3 linked regions of the Rattus norvegicus genome follow. The protein of the gene in region 2 interacts with the protein of the main gene of each other region in a pairwise test. Links are inferred from orthologs where the notes say so. Each region holds a gene or a part of one and is shown on either strand. Other genes may lie near its edges.

What was found. The genes of interacting proteins can lie anywhere in the genome.
Region 1: the proteins of Marchf2 (region 2) and Furin interact in a protein complementation assay, tested with the Homo sapiens proteins (2 studies listed by BioGRID). The link is inferred for Rattus norvegicus from reciprocal best matches to the Homo sapiens genes MARCHF2 and FURIN.
Region 3: the proteins of Marchf2 (region 2) and Ldlrad1 interact in binary tests that used the Homo sapiens proteins (3 or more experiments, as listed by UniProt). The two-hybrid records come from large-scale screens. The link is inferred for Rattus norvegicus from reciprocal best matches to the Homo sapiens genes MARCHF2 and LDLRAD1.

The regions. Positions count from the first base shown.
Region 1 is NC_086019.1:143,759,456-143,763,105, forward strand, and holds part of Furin (furin precursor), read right to left. Parts: intron 2,284-3,650; coding exon 2,071-2,283; intron 1,641-2,070; coding exon 1,540-1,640; intron 1,436-1,539; coding exon 1,332-1,435; intron 1,246-1,331; coding exon 1,128-1,245; intron 1,038-1,127; coding exon 858-1,037; intron 514-857; coding exon 389-513; intron 282-388; coding exon 171-281; intron 1-170. UniProt on the Homo sapiens protein: Ubiquitous endoprotease within constitutive secretory pathways capable of cleavage at the RX(K/R)R consensus motif. Mediates processing of TGFB1, an essential step in TGF-beta-1 activation.
Region 2 is NC_086025.1:15,192,826-15,196,475, forward strand, and holds part of Marchf2 (E3 ubiquitin-protein ligase MARCHF2), read right to left. Parts: intron 2,348-3,650; coding exon of another isoform or gene 2,325-2,347; coding exon 2,129-2,324; intron 1-2,128. UniProt on the Homo sapiens protein: E3 ubiquitin-protein ligase that may mediate ubiquitination of TFRC and CD86, and promote their subsequent endocytosis and sorting to lysosomes via multivesicular bodies.
Region 3 is NC_086023.1:127,222,768-127,226,417, reverse strand, and holds part of Ldlrad1 (low-density lipoprotein receptor class A domain-containing protein 1), read right to left. Parts: intron 2,487-3,650; coding exon 2,361-2,486; intron 197-2,360; coding exon 59-196; intron 1-58.

The sequences.
Region 1 (3,650 bases), on a different chromosome or scaffold from region 2:
AACAATGGCCTCTGAGTCCCTGAGCTCCGCCCAGGCTCCACAGACCTACAGTCCTAAGTAGTCCCCACAGTCCCCAGGAGGTTTTTCTCTAAAGTTCACTGGCCCCTCCAACTCCACTGTTCCAACCCCATTCCCCCCAATTCCCCAGCCTTGATCACGTCACTACTGACCCACGCAGGCCTGGCTGGATGTGAGGGTCTTGCAGCCGCTGCTCTCTGGAGGTGCAGAGAGACCCTCAGAGGCTGTGCCATATAGGACGAGAGTGAACTTGGTCAGCGTCCCTATTCCAGAGTTGGTAAGAGAAAAGGGTCAGGGGTGTGAGCACCTTGCTAACACCCTAGGTCCCACCGGCTCTCTCCCACCCTCCACTTGTCAGTGTGTCCAGTACCATAGTTGTTGGCCTCGCTGGTATTTTCAATCTCTAGGACCCACTCGCCAGAGGGGTCCTCATCCCAGGAATGAGTTGTCATGAAAGCCCAGTCATTAAATCCATCAGCAGAGTAGTCATGTGGTCTGGAGGAAGAGAGTTCCTTATAGCCATCTGAGGCTTTAGACTTCAGGAACCCAGGTCAGGGGACACCTAGCCCATGACACATGGGACATGCACCACCCCTCCCCACGAGGCAACCTGCTGGACTGGAAGCACATCTCGGGCAAGCTGTCTCCCAAGTGTCCTTAGCCAGGGGCCCTATTTCACAAGGGACATGGCTGGCATGTCAGACAGCAGTCTAAGCAAGGGCTCCTATGCTGAGGGAGTCACAAGGACGAGCTGTCCCTCCCACGTGTTACTGGTGGCTAGAGTCTTGGGGACAAAGGAGGGAATGATGTAGGACATGAGAAGGAAACATGGAGAGCACCTGGCAGCTAATAGGGTGGAACGGGTGCCCATGGGGCTGATGAGGTGGATAGCCAGGTCACCACGGCGATTGTAAGACAGGGTGAGCCGTGCCTGAACGTGTTCCAGTCTGGAGATGTGGTTGGGCTCACCCAGGCACGCTGTCACGGTCTTGCGCACCTCTAGCCGTTTGCCAATGTCCCTGTGCAATGAGCACCAGTGAGTCAGTAACCAGGCCAGCAGTAACAGAGGGCACCCCAGAAGCTCCCTCCCACTCAGGTCCAGTCTTTACTTGGGCTCTGCCAGGATTTCAATGATGCACTTCCGCTGGGGGGCCACTGTTGTCCAGTTCTGGGCCAGGGCCACCATGGCACCTGCATCCAACAGCCCGTAGCCATAGGAATGGCTCACTGTGGAGGCAGGGAAGGGTTAATGGGAGGTAGGAGAGCCCCCATCTTGCCTCAGAGCCTAAACCTCTGGGTTACCTTGCCCTCACCTTTCCGGCCCACGCCATTGGTGGCCCAATCGTTAGCGTTGAGATGTGCTGGCTTTGAGGTCTGCACCACCAGGTGCTGCATGTCCCGCCAGGTGAGGTTCTTGCTGCAAAGGAGAAAATGTCTGGGTCAGGCTTTTTGGACCGTGGCTGCAGAAAACAGCTGCTTTTAGGGGCACTGGTGGGGGCGGGCTGTTGCTTGCCCACTTACTTGGCCTCCAGGGTGAGAGCAATGATACCAGCTGCCAAAGGGGCGGAGGCTGAGGTGCCTGTGTGAGACTCAGTGCACTTCTGCCTCAGGTCAGTTGTCACCTGCCAGGGAACAACAGTGGTGAGACCTGATGGATATCTGGAGGAGGAGCCACCTGCCTGTCCTTTTGTCTATCGGACCTGGGTACCCTAGATGGTACAGTGAATCAGTTAAGACACCTGAGGTCCAGCTTCTACCTTACTACCATGCATAGCTCCTTCTAGGGCCAAGGTTCTCAAGGAATAATTGGGAAACAGTCAGAGGTTGGAGCATAAGGGATATTTCTAGGGAGAGTCTATACTTCTCAGGGGGTCGGGGATGGTTTGGTAGCCCTCAGAGGTCTGGGGGAATCCCCAGCTCACAGGGTAACTGCACAAGGCCCAAGCTACTCTATTCAGCCACACAGGGACGAGAGTGGATAAGGCCTAATGGCGCCCTGAGCAGAGAGCAAGGAGCCTCCCCTCCCAGCCCCCAGCCCTGGGCAAGACTCACAATCTGCTTCTCATTCTGGTTGCCACTGCTGTAGGTGGTGGCCAGTGTGGAGGAGCAGGCCTCACTGTACCAGGGCACGTTGCCGAATTGTGTGGCACTGCTGATGGACAGCGTGTAGATGCTGTTGGTGTAGCCGTCACAGTTACAGCTGTCATGTTCCCGGCCCCCGTTCCCTGAGGCCCAGACAAAGATGGAGCCCAGCCCTCCGCGGCCCTGTAAACACAGTGGGCTGAGGTTACTCAAGATGGTGTACTGTGGGGTAGAGAGCAAGGAGGTCTAACAGGAAGATGTTAAGGCAGACTGAGAAGATGTGAGCTCTGTCTCTATGGACTCCATTCACTTCTTAGAATCACCAAAGATCCCTTGTAGATGACTACACAAAATCAAATTGGACCAGGCTCACACCAAAATGCTTAGAGTGGTGATCCCCCAGAGCGGGGTGATCCCCCAGAGTGGGGTGATCCCCTCAAAGCAGGATGATCCCCTCAGAGCAGGGTGATCCCTTGGAGCAGGGTGATCCCCTTAAAGCAGAGTGATGCCCCAGAGCGGGGTGATCCCCAGAGCGGGGTGAGCCCCACAGAATGGGAGAATGGGCACTTTTTGCTTTTTCCCATTACTTAATTTAACCTAAAAAGATACTGTGTTACATTTGTATGGCCATGTGTGCCATGATACCCATGTGGTCACCAGAAGCATCTGTGTGGAGCTGATCCTCCTCTCCTTGCACATTTATATGGGGACTGAGGCTTGAGCTCAGGCCCTCAGGCTTGTGTGCAGACTACCTGTTAACCATCTCTGTGACCCTATCACTTTACTATTTTGGTAGTGCTAAAATCAAACCCATGGCTGAGGCTGGGATGTGGCTCTGTGGCAGAGGAGCTGCCAACACAGGTAATGCCTCTGCTCATGTAACCCCGCAGACCCCCGCCCCAGTTAAGGAAACAAAAGGGCTGGAGAGAGAACTCAGAAGTTAAGGGCACCGTGCTCTTGCAGAGGACCTGGGGTTGATTCTCAGCACCCACATGATGGCTCACAAACACCCATACTCCCAGTACCAGAAATCCAATGGGCATGCATGCCATTAAAATATTTATATAACATAAAATAAATAAAATGAAGATATATCGTCAGTTCCCAACTTCTTAATGTTTTAGTAACAGTTAGTTTCTTAAATTGATTTTTATTTAAAATTTTATTTTTATTGCAGGAGTGTTTTGCCTGTATATATGTGCATGTACTTACTACATGTGTGTCTGGTGCCCTGGGAGGACAGAAGAGGGCATCAGTTCCCTGGACTGGAGTTACTGGTAAGTTGGGAGCCACTATGTGGGTTCTGAGAACCACACCCAAGTCTTCAAGAGCAGCCAGTGCTCTTAACCACTGGGGCATCTCTCTAGCCTCTATAACATTCAATTTTACCACTTTTGTCAAGATTAAAATTAATCAACCAGGTAAAGTGGTGCACACATGTAATCCCAACAGTCAAGAAGCTGAAGCAGTGCAATCATGGGTTCCAGGCTAGCCTGGGCTACATAGGCCAGTCTAAACTGTACAGAAGACTTCGTCTCAAAAAGCAAACC
Region 2 (3,650 bases):
TTTTAAAAGATTTATTTATTTATTATACACTGTAGCTGTCTTCAGACACACCAGAGGAGGGCATCCGATCCTATTACAGATGGTTGTGAGCCACCATGTGGTTGCTGGGATTTGAACTCAGGACCTCTGGAAGAGCAGTCAGTGCTCTTAACCACTCAGCCATCTCTCCAGCCCCCTTGTCAGGGTATTTTATCACAGCAAACAGAATAGGAACTAAGACACCCTCATAATTATCCCTACCAACTAGCCTGTCTGGAGATCATGTGGCCATTATTAACTCTGGGTGTCCTGGTGACCAGGACCAGCACTTGACAAAACACTGGGCACACCAGAGGTACTCAAAGAAACACTTTGTGATCTGAGCTTGGTAGCACCTACTGGTAACCCCAGAAACCAGAAAAGTCTGGGACAGGAGGATTCCAAGCTTTGGGTCAACTGGGCCTATGATAGGTAGGTAGGTAGGTAGGTAGGTAGGTAGGTAGGTAGATGAGAGAGAGAGAGGGAGTAGGGGGAGTAGGGTGAGATGGTTAAGCAGGTAAAGGCACTTGTCAAGCACCAAGCCTGACAAGTTGAGTTTGTTCCCAGGTCCCACATGAGATAACTAACTTCTACATGCTGTCCTGTAATATACACTCATAATCTATGGCACATGCGTATCACACGCACACGCGCACACACACACACACACACACACACACACACATACACACATATACACATATACGGGGTTGGGGGGGACAGGGACAGACACAGGGACAGAAAGGAAGAGAGAGGGAGGGACAGGGACAGGGACAGACACAGGGACAGAAAGGAAGAGAGAGGGAGGGACAGGGACAGGGACAGACACAGGGACAGAAAGGAAGGGAGAGGGAGAGGGAGAGAAACATACATATATACATATAATTTAATTTTTAAGGTATTTGAAGAAGAAACAATGGGATGACATGGTAGAACATAACATTAATTCCAGCCCTCAGGAAGCAGAGGTAGGTGGATCTCTGGGAGCCTAGCCTGGCCTTCATAGGGATTTCTACGCCAGTTTTAGAGCTACTTAGAGAGACCCTGCCTCAAAAACTACCCCCAACAACTGTGGTAGCTGGAACATGAGGCTCACAGATAGCTCAAAGCCAGCTTGGTCTGCATAGCAAGTACCAAGCTAGCCAGGGTTACATGATGTAGCCTTGTCTTAAAAATAGATAGACAGGGATTGGGGATTTGGCTCAGTGGTAGAGCACTTGCCTAGGAAGCGCAAGGCCCTGGGTTCGGTCCCCAGCTCCGAAAAAAAGAACCAAAAAAAAAAAAAAATAGATAGACAGACGACAGATGTAAACAAGTAAAAACCTAGGCGTGGTGATGAACTTATTAATCCCAGGATCAGGACTTTAAAGCCAGTCTGTTATAATAAAGCAAGCTGTAGGTTACATGAGACCACATCTCAAAAATATAAGAAAGAACTAACAACGGTAGCCCTAGTGTTCAAGCCTTGTGATCCTGACAGTCAAAGTAGGAGCACCTCCATAACCTAACCCTGAGTCCCAGGCCTCCCTGAGATAAAATGACAATACCTACTTTACAAAAAACAAAAAACAAACAAAGCTAGCCCAGCATGGTATTACATGTTCATACTCATAACACTCAGGAACCAGAGACAGGAGGAAAGTGGCAAATTAAAGGCTAATTATAATATTAAAAGTGGGGAGCTGGCTAGGACTGGGATTATGACTCAGTTGGTAGAAAGCTAGCCTAGCATGCATGAAGCCCTGAGTTCCACTGCTAGTACTGCATAAACCTGAGGTGATACAGCATGCCTGTAATCCCAGCATTTGCACAGTGGAAGCTGAATGATCAGGAGTTGGAAAGTCATCTTCAGCTAAAAGCTACTATGAGGACAGCCTAGGACACTTGAGAGTGTTTCAAACACAAAACCAAACAACAATCCCAGAGGAGAGGGGGGTAGGGCACGGCAGGGAGGGGCTTGCAGACCTGTTGGGTTCCCACAGATCAGCAGATCCCTCCCAGCACAGGCAGGAACATAACCAGCTTTCCCAGCTGACCTGGGTCGCTGCTACATCTGTCCTCAAACTGCCCTTCCTCCTTCTGGATGTCCAGTCTCCCCCAAGCAATATACCTCTGTGAGAGGTCGGGGCCGCTTTTCCACTGCAAACTCAGTGTGACACAGCTCACAGTAGCTGGTGTTGGAGGAAGACAGCCATTTCTCCAGGCAGCTCTTGTGCACAGCTCCCAGGGTGCCAGTACAGCCACATGGGGACAGCAAGTTCTCCCCATTTGCTCCCTCATGGCAGATTCGGCAGAAGGGACAGTCACTGGAGGGACACAGAGATAAGACCTGTGAATGATGGATGGTAAGGCTTCTTGTTTAAACTGATATCAGTACTTGCTAGCTTATAAGCTCACTGTCACTCCCACGATGCTATTTGGTAAACCTCTGCTCATCCTTCAACAGCCCAGCTCCAGATGTCCTCTTCTTCACATAACTTTTCAAATTCCCATTGGTAGGCCCATATGTTCCCTCCCCAAAGCTACTGTGGGCTCTTTGTAGCCTAGAGTGAGCAATCCTATCCATCCATCGGCCTGCCTAATGCTCTCTTCTTTTGGTGAAACACTATCATGATATTCCTACATAAATATCAACTCTTTGTGGTCCTTCTGTGGTCCATTCTTAGTCGTTCTGATGTTTTATCTTGTCAATTTGACAGGAGGTAGAATCACTCTGGAGACAAGTCTATGGGCATGTCTGTGAGAGATTTTCTAAGTTAAGTTAAGGGAGTGGAAAGACCCACCCTAAACATGGATGATCCACTCCATGGTCTGGGGTCCTGGAGTGAATGAAAGAGAAGAAGCAGAGACACAAGAAAGCTCAGTGGATAAAGGTGCTTGCTGATAGGTCTGATGACCTGAGTTCAATCCCTGGAGCTCACATGGTGGAAGAGTCCTGACCTCCATATACATGCCATGGCATATACAAATACACATGCCATGGCATATACAAATACACATGCCATGGCAGATACAAATACACATGCCATGGCATATACAAATACTCATGCCATGGCATATACAAATACACATGCCATGGCATATACAAATACACATGCCATGGTATATACAAATACACATGCCATGGCATATACAAATACACATGCCATGGTATATACAAATACTCATGCCATGGCATATACAAATACACATGCCACGGCAGATACAAATACACATGCCATGGCAGATACAAATACACATGCCATGGCATATAAAATACACATGCCATGGCAGATACAAAGGAATGCGCATACACGCACATACAACTTTTTAAAGAAAAAAGCAAAGTGAACACAAGCACTCGTCTCTCTGTTTCCTAAGCTTCCTAACTATGGGCGTAATGTGACCAACCATCTGTGTTTCTGCCATTGTGACTTCCCAGACGGTAGCTTGGAATTGTAACTCAGAATCAATCTTTCCTTTCTTAAGTTGCTTTGGTCAGGTGTTTTGCCAAAGCAACAAGACAAATAACTAATACAGTCCTCAAGGACTATGGCACACACATGATCATACACATATATACTAACACACATCACATACAGGACTACAACACATATACTACACTAACACATATCACACACACACACACATAT
Region 3 (3,650 bases), on a different chromosome or scaffold from region 2:
AAGGGGAGTTAATGTGGTTATGGGGATGAAGAGGGGTATGGGATTGAGGGGTACTCACGACACAAGTTCTCAGCCTCGTCCTCACCATGAGGACAGGTGCGGATGCCATCACACACGGCATGGGCCGGGATGCAGTACCTTCGGTCATGGCACAAGAACCCCGTCCTGTTGGCCAGTGTCACACAAGAGTGAGGCTCTGTAGGGGCAAGAGAGACCCTAGAGTGAAGGTAGAACTCATACAGGCAGCCCTGGGGTGGGCAAGGTGGGCACTGCACTAGGTCCCTCAGGGAGCCCCTTTGAGCTCCTAGAGGGCCTCGGGCAGTGGAGAGGCTCTGAACTCCAAGGCATATGTGGACTTGAAGCTGCCACTCTGCCTATGCCACAGCATGACAGGCACAGGTGACCTGGCCTTCTATAGCCTAAGGTCCTTTGTCCTCAAAATAGAGGTCATAGCCTAGCCCCAGAGGTAGGTGGCATGTTGGGAAACATGGTTGTTTTAGACACTGGCTCACAGGCTGTGCAGGGTGGTTTGGTCACACAGGAAGCACTAAGGACAGCATCATACAGATTTAATGATGGATCTCCTGGAACAGGTTAGCTTGTTGGAAGCTGTATATTTGGCTGTCTGGGGACTGCATGTCATAATCCCTTCTGGCTGGGTATACCTTAACAGTCAGCAAACTTCCATAATTTTTTTTATTGTTCCTCCAAGTACTCATAAGAAATGTTACCCTTAAGCTCACCCTTAAAGGTGGCCACAAGATTTAAAGGAGAAACTGACTTAAGGAGATGGAGGTCATAGGCTGTGCCTATGGACACATGTGCAAGTGTATTTGAGCCAGTAGGAGTCATGTCTCCATTCCCAGAGCTACCGCAGCTAGTCATAAGAGGCACCCTTAGATATACACATTGTCACAGATGCACACAGGAAAATGAACACATTCATGTGTACTCACATGCACACACCTGTACCTTCGTGCACATGCATACAGCAACAGATGCACACACAGACACTCGAACATGCACTGACACACGTTCACAGACACACCGACATGTGCATTAATGTACGCGCAGGCAGGCAGGCACCTGCACACATACAGGCATTCACACACACACACACACACACACACACACACACACACACACACACAAGTGAACACAAGCAAGCAGGCATGTGCATTGCATGCACACGGGCACTCACACACATGTGCATACACAGGTCTATGGCTGCAACTCCCCCTTCTGCTATGATTTCACCTTTCCTCTTCCTCGTCCCTTACAGCAGCCCTGCCTGGCCATGGAGCCCTCTCTCAGAAAGCTAGTTCTTCGAAGGATGGGACCTCTCTCTAAGCTCCTGGCATATGACCTCCCTCCCAAGGGCAGCTCCTGAGGCCCTAGGCACTGAGCCCACTCCCTCACTCCCTTCCTCTGTTACTCTCCCACTGTCTTCTTGCCATCTCTCCTTCTCCGTATGCTTCCTTCCACCATAGGAACTCCACACACACTGGTCCCTATGCTGGATGCTATCCCTTACACTCTTTGCTAACCAATCCCTGCTTTCCCTTCTCACTTCAAGTCTATTCCACCTCCCATGGTGCTCCTCACCCTAACTCCCACCACACTGATGGGAGGAGAGCCCTGGCTCCAGACTCCTGGTCTCCCATTAGGCCCGAGTGTTTATTGGATCAAACTCATAGAGTTCTCTGAACTGCTCCCTGAGGGTGGGGACTGCACTGGGCAGCTCAGCACTGAGGTCAGACTGCAGGGAACTTCTGGGCCCAGCCTGATGGGTAGTTGAAAGTACTAACCAGGCTGGCCAGGCCTGGAGAATAAGAAATGCAGTGGCTGTGGGAACTGAAAGGAAGCTCCTAGCCCAGCTCAGGGGTCAGAGAGAATTTCTTAGAGGAAGAAACATCAAAACCAGGACCTCTCAATAGATCATGCTGGGACTGGAGAGGCGGTTCAGTCAGTGGTCAAGAGCATTTGTTGCTCTTCCAGAGGACCTGGGTTCAATTTCCAACACCCATATGGATACTCCTAACCATCTGTAAGTACAGTTCCAAGGGGTTTGACATCATCTTCTGTCACCCCTGGGCACCAAGCACACATGTGGCATAGACATATATGTGCAGGAAAAACACCCATACACATAAACATAAACTTTATAAAGATGAAATAAAAAAATTAAAATAGCGCATGACAAGGATATGTACACAAATAGCCTCTCAGCCTTGTAACCACACACTGACAGGTACCTCTGCATGCACCTTAAGGAACCACTCAAGTCACTCAGGAAGAAGCCAGGCAGGGCTGGGGCTCCCGTCTCCCTGAGCCTCCAAGCCTCCTTCTTGCCCCCTGACCTGGTGTGCGCTGTGGATGTCCCAGGATGGTGACGATCAAGAGCAAGGCGGCAAGCATGGCCAGCAGAAGCAGCAGGAAGACAGAAAGGCAGGCCCCGCGGCGTGAGTAGCAGAGGGGGCCACAGCCTGTGGAGGGGAAGACAATGAAGAGGTGCAGGGATCCCCCCAAGATCCCAGGTGCAGGCAGCCCTCCCTAGTGAGGGAGTACTAGGGCGAGAGGAAGCATTCCTAAGCCTTCCATGACACTCTCTGGTCCTGCCTGTCCTCCACCATCACCAAATGCCATTAGGGGCTAGCCTCTGCTTCATACAGGGTATCTCTCCTTCATGTCCTTCCTAGCCTATCCTCATGATCAGGGGCATAGGACAGTGGACATCTGTGTACCCAGAGCAGTCTCAGAGCATGCTTTCGTGGGAATGGGATGGGGGGGTTGGGTTGGGAAGCAGAGGGGAGGGGGGAAGGATTATCCTGATTGTACTCATTGAAGTGGGCAATACTATTCCCTAAATGGATGCTGGACTGCGGAAGTGGAGAGTCCGAGCAGCAGACAGTCTCTGCATTCACCCCTCTCCTCTTTCCATTGCGGGTCTGATATGACCAGCCCCTTCCAGCTCCTTGAGCTCCCTGCCACCATGGACTGGCTGTGACTTGACCTTTGTAGATGACAAACCGAGGTTCCAAGAAACAAACATCCGGGTCACCCCTGTTCTGTTTGATGCCAAAAGCCAGAGCCTTTGCTCACCTCCGGCCTATCATCTGTTCTAGTACCCCCCAGAACCGTGGGCATTTGCTTTGCTGGGTCTCAGCCTCCTCGAGGGCTAAGCCGGGACGGGGAGAGTTACTGTGGTTTGCTGGGGGCTGGTTAGCTGAATGATTATTCTGAAACAGTAGGTGCTAAGTGTGAGCTAAGAATTTGTTGTGCGACTACCAAATGCCACAAACTCTAGGCATGGCAGAGACAGCAGTTAAGGAGAAGCTGGCAGATGTCCCATACTCTAGACTTGTGCTCCCCTAATTCCCTTTGTTTCTTATGTTTTTCAAGATAGAGTCTCTGCCTATCTAGCTCTGGCTATCCTAACTCACTGTGTTCAGCCTGGCCTTGAACTCACGGAGATCCGCCTGCTTTCACGTCCCAAGTGCTAGGATTAAGGGTGTGTAGCACTGGGGCTGGGGATTTAGCTCAGTGGTAGAGCGCTTGCCTAGGAAGCGCAAGGCCCTGGGTTCGGTCCCCAGCTCCGAAAAAAAAGAACCAAAAAAAAAAAAAAAAAAAAAAAAAAGGGTGTGTAGCAA